Linked DNA regions of Danio rerio. The protein of the gene in region 4 interacts with the protein of the main gene of each other region in a pairwise test. Links are inferred from orthologs where the notes say so. Each region holds a gene or a part of one and is shown on either strand. Other genes may lie near its edges.

What was found.
Region 1: the proteins of sox5 (region 4) and lmo1 interact in binary tests that used the Homo sapiens proteins (3 or more experiments, as listed by UniProt). The two-hybrid records come from large-scale screens. The link is inferred for Danio rerio from reciprocal best matches to the Homo sapiens genes SOX5 and LMO1.
Region 2: the proteins of sox5 (region 4) and kifc3 interact in binary tests that used the Homo sapiens proteins (3 or more experiments, as listed by UniProt). The two-hybrid records come from large-scale screens. The link is inferred for Danio rerio from reciprocal best matches to the Homo sapiens genes SOX5 and KIFC3.
Region 3: the proteins of sox5 (region 4) and arid5a interact in a two-hybrid assay, tested with the Homo sapiens proteins (2 studies listed by BioGRID and IntAct). The two-hybrid records come from large-scale screens. The link is inferred for Danio rerio from reciprocal best matches to the Homo sapiens genes SOX5 and ARID5A.

Annotation. Positions count from the first base shown.
Region 1 is NC_133182.1:28,178,767-28,184,743, forward strand, and holds the start of lmo1 (rhombotin-1), read right to left. Parts: upstream 3,976-5,977; 5' UTR 3,410-3,975; coding exon 3,388-3,409; exon of another isoform or gene 3,040-3,387; coding exon of another isoform or gene 3,006-3,039; intron 1-3,005. UniProt on the Homo sapiens protein: May be involved in gene regulation within neural lineage cells potentially by direct DNA binding or by binding to other transcription factors.
Region 2 is NC_133193.1:48,553,543-48,558,167, forward strand, and holds part of kifc3 (kinesin-like protein KIFC3), read left to right. Parts: intron 1-1,469; coding exon 1,470-1,596; intron 1,597-1,751; coding exon 1,752-1,798; intron 1,799-4,625. UniProt on the Homo sapiens protein: Minus-end microtubule-dependent motor protein. Involved in apically targeted transport. Required for zonula adherens maintenance.
Region 3 is NC_133183.1:62,231,075-62,236,464, reverse strand, and holds the end of arid5a (AT-rich interactive domain-containing protein 5A), read right to left. Parts: intron 4,179-5,390; coding exon 4,081-4,178; intron 3,527-4,080; coding exon 3,373-3,526; intron 1,500-3,372; coding exon 300-1,499; 3' UTR 22-299; downstream 1-21. UniProt on the Homo sapiens protein: DNA-binding protein that may regulate transcription and act as a repressor by binding to AT-rich stretches in the promoter region of target genes.
Region 4 is NC_133179.1:17,601,873-17,607,262, forward strand, and holds part of sox5 (transcription factor SOX-5), read right to left. Parts: intron 3,984-5,390; coding exon 3,811-3,983; intron 2,734-3,810; coding exon 2,665-2,733; intron 1-2,664.

The DNA.
Region 1 (5,977 bases), on a different chromosome or scaffold from region 4:
AAATAGGTTTCGTGAGATGTACGTTTAGATGATCACATACGATCTGCTTAAATCTGACTTTTTAGTTTTTATTCTCTTTATAATGGAGGAAACATTAGTCCGGGGTCCTTTGATGGGGGCCCAGTCGTAAATTTAGTATTGTGTCCCCAGATTTTAAGCAAAGGCTCTGCGAGCAATTATGGTAAAACAGTATGGCCAGCTGTCCAATTTTGTGCTGTTGAAAGGGAGGCATCACCTTGTAATGTTTAACATTTCAACCTCATCAGAATGTGTCCAACCATCATGCATTCAAAACAGGGCAATTTAAAGACCACACAGCAATGACGGATCTCTGTGTTGAGGACACATCAGTTGCAGATATATTGAACTGTAATTGCATCAGGAGGAATGTTTATAAAGTAGGAATTTCTTCAGGCTGAAGCAATATAAGTGGCAGGAACACAAGCATTAGGCCCCGAATCCAGGCGCAATATTGCAAGAGACCCAGGGCGAGAGAAACATTGATGTAATTTCAATATTTGAAATTGGCAAGTTTAATTTAGAGTAAGAACAAGCCAATAAGCTGAGAAAATAGCAAATACAAGAGAGAAAATTACCTTGCAGGATGAAAAAAGTGAAAAGACTTAAGGAATGTATAAAAGTAATCTCCAAGTGGAAATTAGAAATCAACCCACAGAAAGGGGAATAACGGAAAAGAAATATTACTGTCCACTCTCTAAATCAATATAAAATTGCTACAAGACAGAATTACCATGGTAACTCGAGTAAAGAATGAAGCAATTCTTATTATTTCAAAATAAAAACCGGTGCCTGAAGCCCTGAGTTTTATTACAGCAGCAGACAGATCAGGGGTCTAGTATTCATTTGAAACATTGCATTTCAAGTACATGCGCTAGTAACCAACGGATTTCATTGGTCAGTCGGCATGCAGGGCTCGTAAATTAAACGGTAACCAAGAATTTATCATCAGAATGAAGAATGGAAGGTGTTCTTTTCTCTTTTTCAGGTTTTTACAGAGTCCAGCGATGCGAATGATCAATCCTGAACAAGTCCACAATGAGGACCCAATTATTCCATCCAATCCAGATAGTTTTAAATACCTTGAAGGGAAAGAAAATGGCTGAATAGCGTATTTCTCCAGAGAGAATTAAAAGTCAACCGAGAGCTTCTTTTATTTAAAGGTAGTCATGAAAAGGAGTTGTGCTTGTTCTGTACCTTAACACATTTCCCCAAACCATGCGAAGAAAGTACTAAATGGTATTGTGCTATTGCCTGAAAGCAGTACAGCTTTTTTTTTGCCAGGATCAAATACAGTGCAAGGACAACTGATGACAAAGGCAGCAAAGCTGAAATGTGAAAGGGCTGATAATTTGGGAAGGCAGTGTAATAGTAGTACAATAGCGAGAGTGTGCACAAGCCCCGCATCGCTCTACTTTCAATCTCCTGTGCTTAGTACATCATTACATAGTATACAGCGATTTGAATGACCTCATATTTCACATAGGAAACTGTACATATTTTAAGACTTCCTAATAGAGCCTCCCAACAGCTTAGGGTGAATTTGTGGATGGAAAACTAAAGCAAAACTGCTTCGTATCACACTTTTTGGAGGATGTTGAGGAAAAGGTAACTAGATAAGTCTTCTGTTGCAGGATGCAGTTATTTCAAAGACTCGCATTGACAGCCTTTAAAAGTTCAGTTATTGAAAACCAAACACATACATATCTTCTGTAGTTTACAAAATCATTATAAATACAACATTATGACTTATTTTTTGTATTAAATCTGCAGAATCACAGTGTAAGTTAATACGTACTGAGGACCTGTTCATGTTCACAGACAACATGAAAGTCGTGCTTATGGTTATTCTTTCACAAGGGTTTCACAATTCATTGAATTCCTCCCTCACTTTTAATATAGTACAAGATGTACTGAACTGAGAATACTGTACCTCTGATATATTTAGAGCACAGCCTTATATTAGGATCAGACTTATCTGTTCAGTTCCTGTGTTAGTTAAAAGTGTGTGTGCATCTGTGTTGGTATATGCGTGTATGAGAGAGAGGGAGAGAGAAAGAGAGAGAGAGAAAGCAGATCCAAGCTGCTTCCCCATCCCTGCCAAAATGCCAGCGCAGTTGGTCGGCACCAGCACGCAAAGGGTGAAGCTTTTAGGCAATGAGCAGCAGGTGATCTAAGCTTTTCTGTAAGTCCTAATGCTCCTAAAAGCCACTCTCCCTGCTTCTGTAATTGGGCATCAGTAGTTAATGTAGTATTGACTGCATTACATGCTCCTGTGCATCCTCTCCTACTAATGCCATTTGCATCACCTTGTACATTTACCATATTGCTTAGCCAATAGCTGTTAAAAGCAATCTGAATCATGAATCATATGGGGAACTTTTAGCAAGACAGACATCCAAAGGAGACAATTTACAGTTGAGTTAATCTGGGTACATTAGCGCAACATGGATTGAGCGAGACAGACCAATTTATGTTTCTACGGCAATCTCTTTATTGGTTTTTAGATGGGTTAGTGAAAGGATGGTTGGCTCAAAGAGATATGAAATATCCATTTTCAAACATAAATATGGGTCTGAAATGCAAGCCGTTAGTTTGGGGGGGAAAGGGCCCCTGGCTAAAACTAAAGGTGTGTGTGATGACAGTATTCCCAGAAACATGACAAGAAAGGCATTTTAGGTCAAAGACGCTTTAAAGGGATTATTTCCCATTTCAACACAGTTTAAAAACGTATTAGAATACAAAAAAAAAAAAAAAACGGGATTCAGCTTCACCACAAACTTGTCAGCACCACAACCTCCAAAAGAAAAGTTTATAAACGGTTTCCATAGGAACCAGCCAGCAGCGTAAATACAGAGAAGTGCATTGCTCATATGGCTATAAAACGCTGACATGTTTACAAACGCAATACACTGCTATCCAATTGGTGATGTATAAATGTTGTCGTTTACATCTTTCAGTAAAGGTTAAGGTTCAAATGCTCTCACCTGTGAGCGAAGACACCCGCTGTTGATAAAACATCTCCGTAACTTCACAGATTTGCACGAGCTCTAACTAACACTGCGGTGAATGCGGACGCTACGTCTTTCTAACAGATTATCAATATTCATATACAAATGGACAGTGAGAGAAGTACACCGTATTCGGCATGTCTCTCCCGACTCAAAGTGTTTCAGAGTCGCGTTCGCGCTCTCTCCCTCATGTAAACCTGGCGAACGTACGTGTCCGTTTGATATGACAAACGAACTGGAGCATGAAAGTGCCGTTCAGAGGGAAAATGGACGCTAAATGCTGCGTTTCCTTACTGTCCCGCGTTCTTCATAGTCATGCGGAGCAAATGAATGCACTAACAATCATCCGTGCACTTACCCTCTTCCTTGTCTAACACCATCGTCCTGAGGAGCGAGGAGTCCGGCTCCAGGCGATCCGCTCTCGGCTCCAGCACACTTCTGCGCGCGCCGCTCGCGTCTCTGAGAAGAAATTGCTTTGCAACAACAAAATAATAATCGTCCGCGTTGCTGCCACAAGCTTTAACTATACAGGCTCGTCTGTGTTGGTTTTCCGCTGTTCAGAGACAGAATGCCATGTAGAGAAGCATATGCGTCGGTTATTCTATTGTTTAATGTATTTCGGAGATTACATGCAGCGATGTCCCCCTAGTCGCGTTCGCGTGCGCAGCGCGTCAGTATAATATCCACGCTTGCAATTAACGATGTCTAAAACTAAAGTGAGACGCCACGGTGCATTCCATTCGAAAATGAAACGACTGCACTAACTCAAATCTAATTTAAACTCCCGTTTAAATTGAGCTGCCGCGAAGAAGCTATTCTCGGAGTAGAAACGTGTTCCTCCCAGTTCTCATTTGCTCCGAAACTGTAACTATATTCAAGAAATCCAATTCTGAGGCTGACAACTCCTAACAGCATGCTCACGCTGCCTCTCTCACCCAATTTATGCGCTCCGCGCGCTCCTGCTACTGAATAAATGCGCGCGCTTCCCAGAGAGCCACGGATTCCCCTGTTAATTAAATCAATTCATTATGCTCAGATCTGATTAGCAGCCCTTCCCCCCTCTTTGAATCAATTATTCAATACACAAACATAATTGCTTGTGCCAGAGGTGTCTAAGTATTAGCTTATTTAACTCCAAGGACACTAATTACCCCTAGGGCAAGGGAACTTTTCTCATTAATTCTGACAAAACACAAAAGCACAGCTAAGGGAAAGTGTGTGTGTGTCTAACAGAGTGTGTGTGAGTGTTTTTGTGAAGTGCTCACAGGGGATGTGTGTGTGTACGTGTGTTCTTGTGTGATTGTGATGTGTGTTATAAATAGAGAAAAGAGGGTTTGAGCTTTTAAAAAGCGTTTTAAGCAGTTCTCATGATCTAATTTCTTCTCGTTCTTCGCTCTTGTCATTATAATAATACTCCTAGATATGTATGATAGGCTAGACGACTCACTTTCCATATTCAGATAAACAGTCATTTTGAGAGCCACAACACAACAGATGGGCTGTGTTTTGATTAGTGGTGAGATAGGAGAGCACGTTTGGCTCTGGTAATATAATTGTTAGCTGTTACTTTGCTGATACAAGTATTGCTGTTTCATGGTGGGCAATTGATGGGCTTTCACCTGCCCTGCGGAGACTCTTATCCAATCAAGGCAGAGATCCACCCCAGATTAACCATTAGCAGAGATGCAGAGGTTACAAGTGCTCTGTTTGTCCATAAGTGATCTGGCATACTAGTTTTTCATTTGCTTTTATTGTACATCACTGTCAAGGTAGAGATGAAAATGTGCCTTGTTTCATGTCTCTGAGATCTGGAACTCCTCGAAGCAGGTGATGAATAGACATAAATTATGAAACTGTAATTCATATCTGCTCATAAGACATTAGGGTGCAAATCTGCCATGCCCCTAGACATTCATTTGTAGTTTAATTTGAACTATAGACTGTAGTAACCTTAGCAGATTGGGATATTGCCCTGCCCCTAAAATCCATTGTTGGAGCCTTTGCTCTCTTCTTCTCTTGCTTGACATGTCTGACTTTTCATTTCAGCAGTGTGATAGATGGATGACTTTTGACCACAAATGTATGTCTGCTGACCTCTTGTGAAGTGAATGACACCCAATTAATCCAATCACAACAAACTGAGGGAACAAGGAAAGCGTGGCCCATTGTAGTTGAATGCTGGACTGCACAAGGCCCCCTGACAGTTAAATGGAGAAACAATAACAAATAATAAGAGAAGCCACATGCTGTTAGAACACTACTTACAAAAAATAAAAAAATAAAAAAAAAATCTTGATATTTAATGATATCCTTGTAACACAGGGTTTTTTGTATTTACTATAATAATAACAGTAAATAAATGCCTAAAAAATCTTAGTTGCCTTAAATTTTTAATCTGAATTAAGATTAACTTTATGAGTCCATTTAACTTATATTATGTAAAACAGACTTAAAACTGCTTGCATAACTTATAAAATTAAGTTCGAACATAATTAAGTTAGTTTAATAAGTTACAACAAACTAAAAACATATGCTGTCATGACTAATTGTTCAAATAATTTTACAGTGTAGTTACTTGTACCTAATTCTGAAACTCTCAAGTGAGTAAATGAATATTTACTCAGTATTTACTCACCCTTAGGTGTTATAGACCTTTTTGAGTTTCTTTTTTATCTTGAACACAAAATAAGATATTTTGAAGAAAGCTGCAAACCTGTATTGGCATCAATAATAGGAAAAACAAATACAGTACTATGGAGATCAGTGTTTCCAGCTTTCTTCAAAATATCTTCATTTGTGTTCAATGGAAGAAGGAAACTCAAAAAGATTTGAAACAAGTGAAGGGTGAGTAAATGATGACATAATTTTCATTTTTGGGTATCCCTTCCCAGCAGGCACACAACATCATAAGGTATTACTATTACAGTAGGTTAGATTTAGGTCATGAC
Region 2 (4,625 bases), on a different chromosome or scaffold from region 4:
TGCCTTAAGAACTGCTTTAATTCTTAGTGGCATAGATTCAACAAGGTACTGGAAATATTCCTACATATTCCATATTGACATGATAGCATCATGCAGTTGCTGCAGATTTGTTGGCTGCACATCCATGATGCGAATCTCCCACCACATCCCAAAGGTGCTCTATTGGATTGAGATCTGGTGACTGTTGAGGCCATTTGAGTACCGTGAACTCATTGTCATGTTCTGAGATGATTCACACTTTATGACATGGCATGTTATCCTGCTTTAAGTAGCCATCAAAAGATGGGTAAACTGTGGTCACAAAGGGATAGACATGGCCAACAACAATACCCAGGTAGGCTGTGGCGTTGACACGATGCTCAACTAATGACCCCAAAATGTGCCAATATCCTCCACACCATTACACCACCACCACCAGCCTGAACTGTTGATACAAGGCAGGATAGATCCATGCTGTCATGTTGTTGACGCTGAATTCTAACCCTACCATTTAAATGTTGCAGAAATCGAGATATATCCCAGTGTGGTCTTCTGCTGCTGTAGCTCATCTGCCTCAGCGTTGGATGTGTTGTGTGTTCAGAGATGCTCTTCTGCAGAGCTCGGTTGTAACGAGTGCTTATTTAAGTTACTGTTGCCTATCTATCAGCTAGAACCAACAACAAGGCAAGAATCAATAAGGCATTTGCATCCACAGAACTGCCGCTCACTGGACATTTTCTGTTTTTCAGACCATTCTCTGTAAACCCTAGAGATGGTTGTGCGTAAAAATCCCAGTAGATCAGCAGTTTCTGAAATTCTCAGACCAGCTTGTCTGGCACCAACAGCCATTCTGATGCTCGGTTTGAACTGCAGCAGATCGACTTCATCATGTCTACATGCCTAAATGCATTGAGTTGCTGCCATGTGATTGGCAGATTAGAAATTTGCGTTAACAAGCAGTTGGACAAGTGTACCTATTAAAGTGGCCGGTGAGTGTATATTAAATTGAATTGGCACTTCAGGAAAGGGTTGTTATGCTTGTGCTATATCAGCACTAAGACTCATCTGGAAGGTACAGACTAAAAGTGCAAGATGGGCAACAGTTCAGTCTAAAGTAGGATCAAAAAGGATTTAAGATGCTCCATCTATAGCCACCAAATGTTCAAAATTGTAATCACTGAACCTCAAAGACTATATTTAACTATTTCTTTAATCCATTGAGTTTCTTTAATCCATTGAGTATGGCAGTGTTTCCCAACCCTGTTCCTAAAGCCACACCAACAGTACACATTTTCAACCTCTTCCTAATCAAGCACACCTAAATCAACTCATCCGAACAGTAGAAGAGCCTCCGAAACCTGAAGTTAGCGGGTCAGATAAGCAAGACATCCATGTGCTGTTGGTGTGCCTCCAGGAACAGGGTTGGGAAACACTGGAGTTTGTGATGTTTTTATTGTATTTTTTATTGTTTGTATTTTTGGTGTCTGCAGCTGGACTCTCCTCCTGTGACCCCTGTTCCTCTGCCCATCTCTCGGGCCAGCAGTGCAGGATCAACCCTGTCCTCCACCTCCAAAACCCCCACCACCCGCCGCCGCTCACACAGCCAACTGTCCACAGGTGAACACACACACTCTCACACACATTTAACAATTACTCAAACTCTGATGCAGTGATCTGATAATGATACACGTCTCACACACTGATTGAGTACAGGTCACGTCCTGTGATTCTCTGTTCTGCGCATTGTGACGCTGTAATTGGTTGGTTTCCAGATAGACAGGTAGACAGAGGCAGCCCATTGGTTGGGGACGGTGGGCAGGTAGGTGGGGTTTTCTGTGGTTGGTCGCTTGGCATGAACTGCTCAGCATGGCATGGTGCCCCACATGTCGATGCCCACCCATCTAACACAGCCTAACACTGAGTGTGTGTGAGTGTATGTGTGTGAGAGCGGTAGAGCGAGTGAGTGTGTGTGTGAGAGAGCGCAAGTGTGTGAGTGATCATGTGTGTGTGCGTGTACATATGAGCGTGCGTGCGAGCAAGTGTGCGAGTATGCTTGTACAAGTGAGTGTGCAGGCGTGTGCGAGCAAGTGAGTGTGTGTGCAAGCATGCGTGTGCGAGCAAGCGTGTGTCTGATAGTGTGATGTGTGTGAAGCGAGATCAGCTGCTGTTTTGTCCGTGTGTGTCTTTTTCTTTGGTCTTGTTCAAGCTTTCTGTAGTTTATTTCTTGATGTTGTCCTGTGTGTGTGTTCTGCAGTTGGGCACTGTTTTCACTGTATGTCTTTTTTAAGTGTGTGTGTGTGTGTGTGTGTGTGTGTGTGTGTGTGTGTGTGTGTGTGTGTGTGCGTGTGTGCGTGCGTGTGTGTGTGCGTGTGTGCGTGTGTGCGTGCGTGCGTGCGTGCGTGCGTGTGTGTGTGTGTGTGTGCTTGTGTGCGTGTGTGTGTGTGCGCGCGCGTGCGTGTGTGCATGCATGCGTGCGTGCGTGTGTGTGTGTGAGAGTGAAAGTGACAGAGTTTAGCTGTTTGTATTTTGGTTGACGTCTTCACCTCGAGCTCTGCTTCTGATTGGCTGGGCTGTGCTGTGGTGCTGATATAACATGTTTTTGTGAGGTGATTTAATTATTAGAGTCACAAATGTTCAACACGAATTACCGCAGCTCTGTTGCAAAACCTAACGAGCTGCTTTCTCACAACGCCAGAAGAATAAAAGCTAAATATTATTCAGCATTTTCATTAAATGAACAACTTTTAAAGGGGTCCTATTGTGACTTTTATTTTACAGCCAGTAATGCCCGTCTCGGGTCTTCCCAATCTCTTTAAATGCAAATAAGTTGCTGGGACCCACCCACTTTTGCAGAGGGCGGAGCCTTTACAGCTCCACCCTCAGTTACTCCAGCAAAAAAAAAAAACAGAACATCTGCACACACTTGAAGTCTTTCTTCTAAAGATTTAAGCATAGACAACATGATAATGGGAAAGTTCAGCCAAAAAAATATTTGAGTTTCTTGTGTTGAACACGAAAGAAGATATTTTGAAGAATGCTGGTTGATGGCACCCAAGCACCAGATTGATTTTACGGCACTAGCTAAACTTTCTGACACCTTTACAACACTCACGTACATTTAAAATAAATACAGGCCACGACTTAACATGGAGAATGATCTTTAAGTAGCGGTCTCCAAATTTAAACAAAGAAAAGACGTGATTTAACTTAAATATTGTGCCCTCCAGTCTCATTAGGAGAGGTTAATGTTACATAATAATAAAAAATGATTTGGGTGTTTAGACTGTTACACTTTTTTGTGTTATCAATATGCTTGTGTTTATATAGGCCTATTGGTAGGCCCACACGGAATCTGCACGCGCAGAATTCAGCAGATTTTTAGCCCATCATTAATTCTGTTTATTTACTTGAGTAAATGTGTAAATCTGAAGTTATTCAGTTTTTACTCAGTAATTTATTATTTTTTATTTCATATATTAAGGTTTTAGTTATGATACTGCGCTGGATACTCCCAAAATAATTCAGCAGAAATCCGCAGATAATTACCAAAATTTTCTGCAGAAATAGCAAAACACGTGCGCAGATTCCGTCTGGCCCTGCCTATTGGTTTGTGTGAGTGTTGTGTGCAACGTTTGTATGATTATAACCACTTTCGAAAATAGTGGGGGTTGTGAGTCATTGGCATTGTTATTTTTGGGGGTCCCGGGCTGAAAAGTTAAGGAACCCCTGCGTTGCACCATTTATTTCAATGCTTGCCATCAACCAGATTTTTTCAATATATCTTTGTGCTCAACACAAGGAAAAAAAACTCAGAACAAAGTAATTGCTGCAGTGATTTTTATTTTTGGGTAAACCATCCCTTTAATTAAAGGTATGGTTATTTTTTTTCGTCATAAGCTGTTCACACATTAGTGATTTAAAAAATATATCATTATTAATAATAATAATAATAATAATAATAATAATCAATACATTTTTTAAGAATCTAATGAAAATGTCTATGTGTACTTGTATCTATAAGCTAGTTCCTGTAGGTTTTGCAAACAGAGCAAATGTTTCTCAGAGCTTCGAGTAACAATGACTAAGGGTGTACTCACAATATGCACCGTTGCCTTGAACCAGGCCAAAGCATGCTTGACCATCTTCCGTCTCCCCCGATGGCCCGCACTCACATTACATTCGGGCCTGGGCATGCTTACGTCATCGATGCTGCGCTGTTCAGTAAGCGCTTTCACTCTTCACAGTGGAGATTTTAGTCATTTTAGTGGTTCGATATGCAGTGACATGCAGTCAAATATTTCGCCGAACAGATCAGCATCTTTTGACGCTCATAAACAATCATAAAGTCCTCGTGCTGCAGGAATTAGGAGGTTTGCTGAAGGTGCAGCTGTCGTGCAGTGAGGGGTTTGCATCTTTAATATACTACGACAGTTTGTGTTCATTAAACAGTAAGAATGATTAATAAACACATATGAAACCGTCCCTTAAAAGTCACGTCTCGCTTTCAGTTTCGGGCTCAGGCACGTTTTGCACACACACACAAGCGTACCGCGCCAATGCTCAAGTGAACCGCGCTGAGCCTGATTCAGAGAACTCACACTTCTCAAACAATCCGGGAATAAGGCCTGGGCATGGTTCGGATAGCA
Region 3 (5,390 bases), on a different chromosome or scaffold from region 4:
AAACAAAAGTTGGCACTCTAAGCTAGTTTTTCACAGCAGTTGGCACTCTAGGCTAGTTTCTAACAGTGGACGGTGCTCTAGACTAGTTATTAACACTCAAATTCTGACATGTAAGAGTGCTTGTGCGTTATGAGTTATGTAAGTTGGCTTTTATTTCACGAGGTTCATGTAAACAGCTCACTGTAATTCGCTTAAACCTTTTCTAACTGTATTAATGATTATTTTAGTTTCAAGTGGTATGTGTGAGGAGTTGCATACAAGCACGGCCCAAAAGTAAGTCTCTAAGGTCTGCGAATAGTTCAGTACGGCTGCAGGCTTGGCATGTTATATCCAGCAGGCGCATGCCAGATTGGCATCGGGTAATTGTACGAAGGCAAAGCAGCTTCGTAAGACCCAGGAAAGTGGGTTCCCACTGGCGGGCAATGCATAGAGTGGCTCTGAGCAGGAGGAATTGACAGATGTGTTGGAAAAAGCACGGGCTGCAGAGGTAGAGCTTTTAATTGTTCAACCGTCAGGTCTCCTCGAAGTCTTTCTAAAGCTGGCTGGTAGGGCACAGTGAGTCCGCCATGCGGGTGGAAGAGGTACTGCTGGGTAGGCAGAGGTTTGGGCAACGCCGTCTTTGCCTTCTCCTTCCTGTCCGTAATGCGAATCGGAGAAGATACTGGCATCTTCTTCAAGTAGGCTTCATCAGGTCTCTTTAGGAGGTGCTGGTGGTAGGAGGACATGTGCGGTTTAAAAGAGGGCTGTAGTGATGACATGGGCCTGCAGGGATCCCGGGGCAAGACCTTGGAGAAGCTGGAGGCATGAGGGACCCAGTAGGGTTTGGTGTAGGCTGGCAAGGGCAGCCTATGGGATGCAAGTCTGGATTTATCATCAGAGGTCCATGCTAAAAGACTCCTCTGGGTCTTTTCTGTTGCACCAGCTTGCAGGAACTCTCGATAATGTAAGCGGGGATAGTTGGCGAGTTCTTTGGTGTTGGGGTAACAGCTGAGTGGTTTGCAAACTCCGGTGCTGACAGCTTTGGATGTGGACAGAGCTGGCAAACGAGTCGCTGTTTTGTTTTCAGGCTCTTTAGCTGGAGACTTTTGAGTCGTGACGGCTATGCAGTCCTCGGAGGAGACGGAGTATGGAGAGGGGCTTCGAGACAGGGATCCAGAAGGAGAGGAGACTGGGACAGGAGAGCCATCGGAGGAGTGGCGACCGCGAGTGTTAGACTGGGAAGAGTGGGATATGTGGATAACGGAGGGTCGCTCAAGTTCTCCACCGTCCTCTGAGGCAGGGATAGTGAGGCTAGCCTGAGCCAGACGCTTCTTCTTCTCCAGGGGGGAGATGACTTCGGGCGGGCTGGAAGTCTGGAGAAGCGGGTTCTCCCTGGAGCTCATGCCAAGGACTGGAGCTGTGGATGTGTGCTCGGAGTCAAGGCGATCAGAGGATATCAGCCATGGACTGTGATGAGAACACCTGCCTCTGTCACAGTGGTGATCAGACAACATTTTCTCCTGAAAAGAAAAGTGGGATACTTTAGAACTTACAGTAGTGTAAGAACGGTAGTGTTTAGGGCAGGTGTGGGCGAACTTGATCCTGGAGGGCCAGTGTCCTGCATAGTTTAGCTCCAACCCTATTCAAACAGACCTCCCTATAGAGTTCAAGTGATCTTGAAGACACTGATTAGTTTGTTCAGGTGTGTTTGACTAGTGTTGGAACAAAACTGTGCAGGGACAGCGGCCCTCGAGGATCAAGTTTGCCCATCCCTGGTTTAGGGGATTATATATGGATTCCAATCTTAAAGGTCCAATGTGTCCACTAGTTTTTAAATGTTTGTATCAGTATTCTTTGTTTTTAGGAGATCATTAAGCTAGTACGCATCAAAACAGTGACAAAATCCGTGTTTAGGAGATATTAAAGTAATAGAAACATGTAAAGTTTGTAGGTTGTCTCTTCCACCTAAATGGGTCAACGATTTTATTAATGTCAACTCATACTTTAGTTTCTCATCAAATCTTCTGACCAATCAAATGGTCTTTAGTATCTGACATGCCCCGCCCCTTTCAGATGCTTGACATTTACATCAACCACTCTGACTGGTAGAGCTGTGATAAAAACAAAACGCTATTGGCCGTTTTTTTTAAAGGGGAGGGGCTACTCTATGCCCCGCCCTCTCTTCATGTTTAAGTTAAGATGCGTCAAACATCGAATAAAAATGCACATTTCAAAGCACTTCACGGGACTTTTCAGAGAATACCGAAAGCATTTGTAAGAAAGCCCAAGAAAGGTCATTTTAATTAGGAGGTTAAATCATTACTGAGTGAACAAGACTAAATTTGATATGGTGTGCAAAATTCTGTGGAGAGTATTTAGATTTTTAATATGACTCTATGACAGGGCTGCTATTTTAAAGCCTTTTGTTTGACTTTACATTGGTAGAGATCAAGTTACTTTGTGTTTTACCAATGATTTTACTTCACCCATTAACAATCCTGGAATATTTAGGTTACCATACCATAGAGATGTCCAAACTCAGTCCAGGAGGGCCGGTGTCTTAAAGAGGTTAGCTTCAACTCTAATCAAACATACTTAAACCAGCTAAATAAGCTCTCAGATACTAGAAACTTCCTGGCAGAGCTTCATTCACGTCCATTGACTTTTAGGCACATGAAACACCTCGTTTTGTGGACTGTGTGACAGACATATTTGAGATGATCTTGCTGGCTTTTTGGTCATATTGTTTCCAAAAGACTGCCATTTTATTTTAGATCCCTTAGTCTTAAGACTTGAACATCAGAGCATTATAGCATAGGGCTGGAGAATAATTCAATATATACACATATCGCAATACTTGGTCACACTTTATTTTGATGGTCCGTTTGTTGAATTTAAGTTACACTGCATCTACATGCCAACTAACTCTCATCAGATTATAAGTAGACTGTTAGGGTTAGAGTTAGTGTAAGTTGAACATGTACTTGCAAAGTTTCTTATAGTCAGTTAAATGTCTGATTAGCAGCAGTATCAACAGATATTAAGCAGACAGTCTACTGATACTCAAATGAACCATCAAAATGAAGTGTTTCCCAATATTTAATCCCAATAACCAATTTCTTTCACCCAATTCTGATATTTTGATGTACAGTTGACAATTTTAAATGTGAATTTTTCCCCTGAAATATTTCCCAAGTGCTTTTTAATGTAAAGAAGTCATTTGTAAACAGTTTTAATAACTCATTTCTAATAACTTTCTATAAGATTAAGATTCTATTAAGATTAATAAGATTTCTTTTCTCTTTGCTATGTTGACAGCACATAATACTTGACTAGATATTCTTCAAGATACTAGTATTCAGCTTAAAGTGAGTTTCGTTATTGTCCTCTGACCTCGCTCTCGTCTCTCTCCATCTTCCTCTTCTTCTTGCTCTCTGGTTTGCTCCCCCGGTTCTCAGGGCTCCTCTTGTACTGTTTGCGAGGTTTGGACGGTGGCAGTGGTTTGTCCTCTTCTCCTCTCAGCTGCCGCTCAAAGGGCAAAACCAACCTGCAAACACAAATGAGTTTTAAAGTTGGAGACGAAACAACCCAGGCGATGCAGAGGCTCTGAAATGTGTGTAATATAATGTTCTTGAAATCAATAAATGTTTTCATTTAACTCTTTCCCTGGACCAAAATAAAGAAGCTTTATTTTTATGATTTGAAACATTGTAGGCCACCTAATATAGTAAATATATTATCTATCTATCTATCTATCTATCTATCTATCTATCTATCTATCTATCTATCTATCTATCTATCTATCTATCTATCTATATATATATATATATATATATATATATATATATGTGTGTGTTTAATAACAAAATTGTCTGCAAATTTCTGCCAATTACCACCACAAAATCAGTCACATTTATCACAAAAAAAAAAATTCACAAAAAAAACATAATCGTGAAAAACTAGAGGATCTGCTGAATGAGCTCTGCAATGCTGCAGTCCACCTCCAGAAAAGTGACAGCATGAAAACGGCCCACATTGTTACTACATGTTATTAAAGTCCACATGAAATCTTAATGTTTGTTGTTTTGGTGATTTGTTTACCTTTCATAGTGTCTGCGTGTGCAGGTGGCTGCGCTTGTACTGCCTGGACTACCACCCAACTCGTCATACACGTTCTTCCACTGCCTCCTCGCTGTTACCTGTGAGCGAACACCATGTAATTATAGACCCCCAATGGAAAACTGCAGCAGTCGGGTTTCCAAAAGCATGTCAATTAGCAAGCGCAAGTTATTATCATCAGCTCAAGAGGTTTGTTATTTCAGATATAGACGCGCGGCGAGCGCAAGTAATCTCTCGCTGTGTATTTCAAACATGGCGGGTCCTTTGTTTACATTCTAGCTTGTTGCCTAAGCGAATGACATATCTCTGTAAACCTATAGCGTTCAGCTGCACGTCTAGCTCCGCCTTTTGGTACCCTTTCTTGTGTTTGGGACCCTTTCGAAAGGGTGCTGAATAAGTGGTACGGTACGGTTTGGTTCGGTACGCCTTTTAATAGTGGAAACGGCCATAAAAGCATACCAAACCGAACCGTACAGTACCGTACCACTCCGCCATTACTGTAATGTGCTTACACTACAGCTGTTGAATGCTTGATTCTGATTGGCTGATGAGCATTCTAAGCTGTACTGTTTCAGATGAATGCACAGCTAAAGTAGTTCCGGCAAGTTTTGAGTGTGTTACAGCTCTGTATCACTATGCTAAATGAGTTATTTCACAGCTACAACAGTCAAAAATCACATCAAAACACAACTCAAGGCTTTGGAGGAGATGTGGAAGAAACCAATGCAACACACAGGAGCAGATTGAGGACAAAAGCCTGACAAATGTCTGAAATACAACATCTGAACAGTAGCTTTAGCTGTGGGAACCCGAGATTAAGCAGAGTAATTCACTTGAATTGTTGATTAATTAAAAAATAATGCACACTCAAGCTGTAGCAGCCGCATCACTACCTTTTCTTCAAATGATTCCTTATGTATCAGTGTGCTTCAGAGAAAACGTGTGCACAAAAACAGATTCATTCGCCTGTCTGCTAGATGTGACGTTCATAGATCACAAACTTCTGCACTTAATGATGTCAGACCTAAACACCCCAGATTAATATAATAATATCACTCCACTTGTGTTTTTATAAACTAGTTTGAGTTCCTTACCAAGAAAGAAAAGGAAGATATACTGAATAATTGACATCCATAGTAGTTTTTGGTCCTACTATGAACGTCAACGGCACTATATTCTTCAAAATATCTTGTGTTCAAGTTTAGAGTCATTATTAGCGTGGCAATGGTAAACATTGAGGACATTTTAAAGGGCCATGACACCCCCCACTTTCATTTAAAGTCTACTTCAGA
Region 4 (5,390 bases):
GCCACTTCATGCAGGAAAAACACCAATTACATTCATTTAGGTGTAATGAGACAAATTAAACAATTACACACCCAATTGGGTTAGCCGCTCCTGTGCACAGGACCTGGTCTAACGCTTCTGTTGTCTTTTTTCTCCTCAACCTTCTTTTTAACTCTCATTCCGTGGGAAAATGGATTTACAATCTCAAGGAGGCACTGGCACTCGGCAAATGAGTATGATTGAGTTAGGAAGTGATCATGCAGTGTTTGACATGTATAGGCTACCGCAGTGGAAGTTCTTTATTTGGTTAGCTTTCCTGAAATGGAGGTTGACTCTAATACATGTTTTACAAGCAGTCACCGGTTTGTGTCGGCATCGTGTCTTAAACTAGTTAGAAAGCTTTAAAAAAAAAAGTGACAGCCGTGCTTGTTTTGTTTGGTGTGGCTTATGCCATTGTGCTAAATGGCCATAGTTATACATCAAATTAGCCCGCAAAAACATCTCCTCATGGGAGGTCTGGCTACCCGCGGTAACTGACACTTTGACAGCAGAGAATCCTCATCTCGGCCCCTGCGCTACGTATTGGAAATTTTCTAACACCAGCGCGAAGTCCCGCAGAGCCGGAGGAGGTGTGCTGAAAGGAGGCTGCTAATGAGAGAAAAGTGAAGGGGGAAAATGTTGGGAGTACGGCGAAGCTCAGAATGAGGTTGTACCAGTGGGCAGCTCACAGCCATTGCACCCACAGGTTTTTTTTCAACATTACACCTGTCGTTAAGCATGGAAATGCATTATATGTATTGCATTTCATGCCTCATGCTTCTGCGTGTGTGCCGCAAGCTTCTCGGCAGGTGTATTCTTTCATCCAAAGAAGCCTGTGTTTCTGGTTGGATAACAGTCAGGAGTCCTGTTAAGGCCCCGTGAGGGGTCCTGAGAGAAGACGCTTTAATAAGAAGCAAAGAGTGTGTAGATGTTACCCCCAAGAGCCTAAAGAAGTGGCCCCACACTGAGAGGTATATATGTGTTAACTGTGTGCATATTTCTGCAGAGAAGTAACTCTTCAAGGAGTTTTCAATGCGCCACAGGAGCAAAATTCCATTGAAACTCAAAAGTCAACATAAAACAGCACTCCATTTGACTTATTTAATGTGATGCGTATCTGTGTGAACCAATTTTGATGAGGGTAAGAGATGGCAAAAAGGTAATGTCATACAATAAATATATAAAAATAAGGCCGGGAACAATAGTTTAAATATTTTCTTTAAACATGGAATTTGGATATTGACCTTAGTAATGTGTTGTAAAACTCCAGAGTTCAGACATGAAGCAAGTGTTTGGTCAGAGTATGTTAGCGGTCTGTATGCTACACAATTTAAATGCGTGATTTAAGGAGGTGATTTTGGGCTAATACATGATTGGCCCATAACAAGGGTCTCCCCCTCTCTCCCCCCTCCACTGCCTCCGCGTTGACTGTGAGAAACTATTGTTCCACTGGGCTGAATGGAGAAGTGCTTGTTTGGGAAAAGGTTGCAAAGTCATGGGAAAAAGAAGCTTTGTTTCTCTGAGTGAAGAGTGGGGCTAGAAAAACCCAAGCGGACGTGTTTTGGGGACTGACGCACACACAGCTGCTTCTGACACATATACAGACATGAGCTGGTGAGGATTTTGAAATAGACACAGATAATTCTCGCATACACATGTTCAGACTAAGCTGTATAGTATGAACATGCACACACGAGCAACCACAGCTGCTACACACACACACACACACACACACAGCCAGGCACTAAAAAGAATGGCAGGGGTCCAGCGGACGGGACTGATCTGTGTATGCGTGTGTGAATAGTCTCAGTGTGATGTGGCTTCCTGGCCAAAACTGCCGGAGTCCCTCTCAAGGCTAAGTCTCATTTTATCAACCAAATTAGACTCATCTCATTTCCTTTTGCACACAAAGACTTTATTCGCTTCACACCTGCACACACAAAGCAGGCCAGTGTTTCTCTGCCCCATGTATAAGTCAGCTGGGACAAACCCATCAAAAAAGTGTCTGTGTTCAGTTTTCCACAAGCTCCCTTACCAGCCAGCAGGACTTTACCCATGTGTTCTTTTACGCAAACTATTCATTGAAATATAGCAAGTAGCTGTAGTGTTTTCTGTTTTCTTTCACAGACCTATCGTTTTATCATTATCATCAGAAGACACTGGTGTTCATTTAATTTTGCCTGTTGAATTTCAAAGTGACAGTAGCCATTGATTTACATTTTAAGAATCACCTTTATCCTGGATGCCCTGAGCTGCAGTAAACTCAGTCATTTTTCTAATCTTTAAATATCTTCCACTGAGCTGTCATAATGTGTTCAGGATTGTCTTGAAATTGGATGTACAGTAATTCAGAGGACAGCTTTGTGATTCTTTGTTTTGTGTAGTTATATTTTGATTGTTTCACAAAAAGGACTACAAGAATGGACACTAAATATAAGCTCCACTCTTACATTTGTGATTTGATGAGGGGGGTTGATTGCTGACTGGCAGACTGAAATGTTTGATTGTCATGAAACCCCACAGTCATGGTGACAAGACTCTCACATTGTGACATCTTATAAACATTTGCGTTCAAAAGCATAAGTGCAAACAAGTATACAGTCCTAATACTGGACATGCACATACTGTATATATATGAAGACTCACCTGGATCTGTTGCTGCAGGAGGTTGATTTTGTGTTGTTGCTGCAGAAGTTGCTGCTGTTGTCGTGCAATCTGTGGACAGAACATGTCAAACTGTCAAACATGTCAAACTCTTCTCCAATAATAGAGAACATTATTTGTGTAGATAGAGATTGGGATGAGTGAATTGTTGATGGTGCACTGTTTGAAACTCTTGGGTGTGTTTTTGTATTTTAGACATATTTGCTAAGGAGTGGCGCCTAGTCCTGGAGCGTTGTGCGCTTGTGCATGTTTATGTGTATGTGTACAGGGGTGTGTAAGTAAATGTGTTAATACAGATCTGTTTTCTTTTGTAAAACTAAGCTCCCCAGAAGCAACTATGCACACAACAAAGCCCAAGCACTCTCTTCTGTATGCAAACACCTTTAGTCTCCTGCTTGTGTGCTGGAGGGGACCTAAATGTTTCTCATACACTTACAAGCGGGATGGAGAGAACAGAAGGTTTCTTTATGAATTTGGTTCAAAGTGGAGAATCTTACAAACTGTACCTTTCATAAATATATGCAAACACACAGGTTTCCTAGACGTAATGATTTTTAGACTGTACAGATTGTTTGGTTTGTCATTCCCTTAAACATTCTACAGATTTACATTTTCATAATGATTAATTCTGGTTTATTTATGAGCCATTCTCTTCATGGGGACCAAAAGAGGAAAATTAAAATAATAATAATAATGTTTAAGGTCCCCGTAATGTTTTAAATACCAGCATTACATGCACAGACAACTTTGGTATGTGTTCTGTAATCTGACATACCACAGGGGTCAATTTTAAAAATGTCTGCTACTTTTAAGACAAGTTTCAGATCAATTTTCTTTCTGTTCTTTTAGCAGTAAAATGCATTGCTAAGTGGCATACTTACAGAACACGTACTTACATACCTATCAGAAAACAATTGTTGGTAATAATTTTTGACCATTGAGACTACATTACTCACCAAGCCTTGTGTTTTATTGCATTGTGCTTGGTTAATGCCTATATTGCATATTTACAATCAGCCTACATTGCCCTCTGGTCATTGTTATTTGGCTTCATTTGAAAAAGTTTGGATAAAACTGAATATAACTAGTGAGACATGCGCATGACGAACATTGTAAATATTTGCTGACCTGGTCCTGTTGCTGTTTTGCTAACTCCATTTGCTGGCGTTGTTTTTCAATCTGTGAAGCAGCCAGTTTCTTCTGCTCCTCGTGGGCAGCCAGTAACTGCTCTCGGAGACTGCTGAGCTGCGTGATCATCCCCATCAACTGCCGCTCTTTCTCCGCCAGACTGTCCGGGGTGCCTGCAAGGGTTAAAGGACACAGGCCACAGGTCAAAGAGCTAGTCCAGGAAGCATTGTGCCCAGATGTGCTCCTCCCGAGATGTGCTATCACCCTGATGTTTACCTAGCCTTCGCTACACATTTAGCATGAGCTGACCTCCGACCTCGAACTAAAGCTGAGAACGCTCTGACATACGAGCAGCCCCAGAGCAGACGGCAGGAGGGGAAGACTAAATCACTCAACAGGATGTAGTCGCACTGCGGTATTACCCCAGACTACCACCAATCAAAAATTGTGTGTGTGTTTGAGTGCACTAAACCCCTAAAGCGTTCAAATGTCCAAATGAGCACGTCTGTTAATGAGTTCATGTGTGTGCAATTGTGTGTCTGAGGTCATATATCTGTGCTAAAACACACACACACAGACACACGTCTGCAGGCCCCACAATCACCCATTGTTCTCGGTCTCTACCTTCTGAGGGGCCACATTCCACACCAGGGAAAAACAGATGATGAAGAAAGCTAGAGAAAGAAGGGAGTCATAGCAGCTGACCTGACCCTTTGCCCTGGCAGGAAGGTGAGAGTAGGCTCCATTTGTAACCCCTTCACAAACACACACACACAGACTCAACAATGCACAATAAAGGCAACTGTCACAGTTGGCCAGTTGGAAAAATAAACCTGCAGCTCCCTTTAACAGCTCCCAGACTGGGCTTTCACAAGAGGGTGTGCATGTGAGCCGGCCTGGGACAAGGGAAGGCCTTGTGTGAAAAGTGACGAGTCTTCCAGAGAAAGGAGGCATCAAAGCGATCTTTCTTTCCTGCTTTCTTTTTGAGACCCTGTTGCTCATACTAGGACTGGATCTGAATGGTTAAAATAGACATTTTTATAGCTATATTGAAGTATTTTAATTTATATATTTAATATATTTTTTAATTTCTTTTAACTTGATGCTTTGAAGGTGGTTCACTTAGATATTAACACCAAAAACATCATGCAAATAATTAGTCTTGTTAATTCTTGTTAGGGCTAACAGAAAAAAAAAAGATTTTCATTGTTGTCAACCTTAGATAGAACACATTAATAATAATTTAAAATCCTTACATTTATATAGCACTTTTCTGGACACTCAAAGAACTTTACACATTTTTTGAAGGGAATCTCCTCATCCATCACCAGTGTGCAGCATCCACCTGGATGACGCGATGGCAGCCAGATCGCACACCACTTGGCGATTGGCGAAGAGTGATATGGGGATGGTTAGGAGGCCATAATGGACAGTGGGAAAATTCTCTGATTCTCTTCTCGATCTCATCCGAAATACTGGGGCGTGAGGACCCACACAGACTGCAGGTTGAGCACCCCCTGCTGGTTTTACTAATGTCACTTCCGGCAGCAATCTAGCTTTTTCATGTGGCTTTCCTTTAT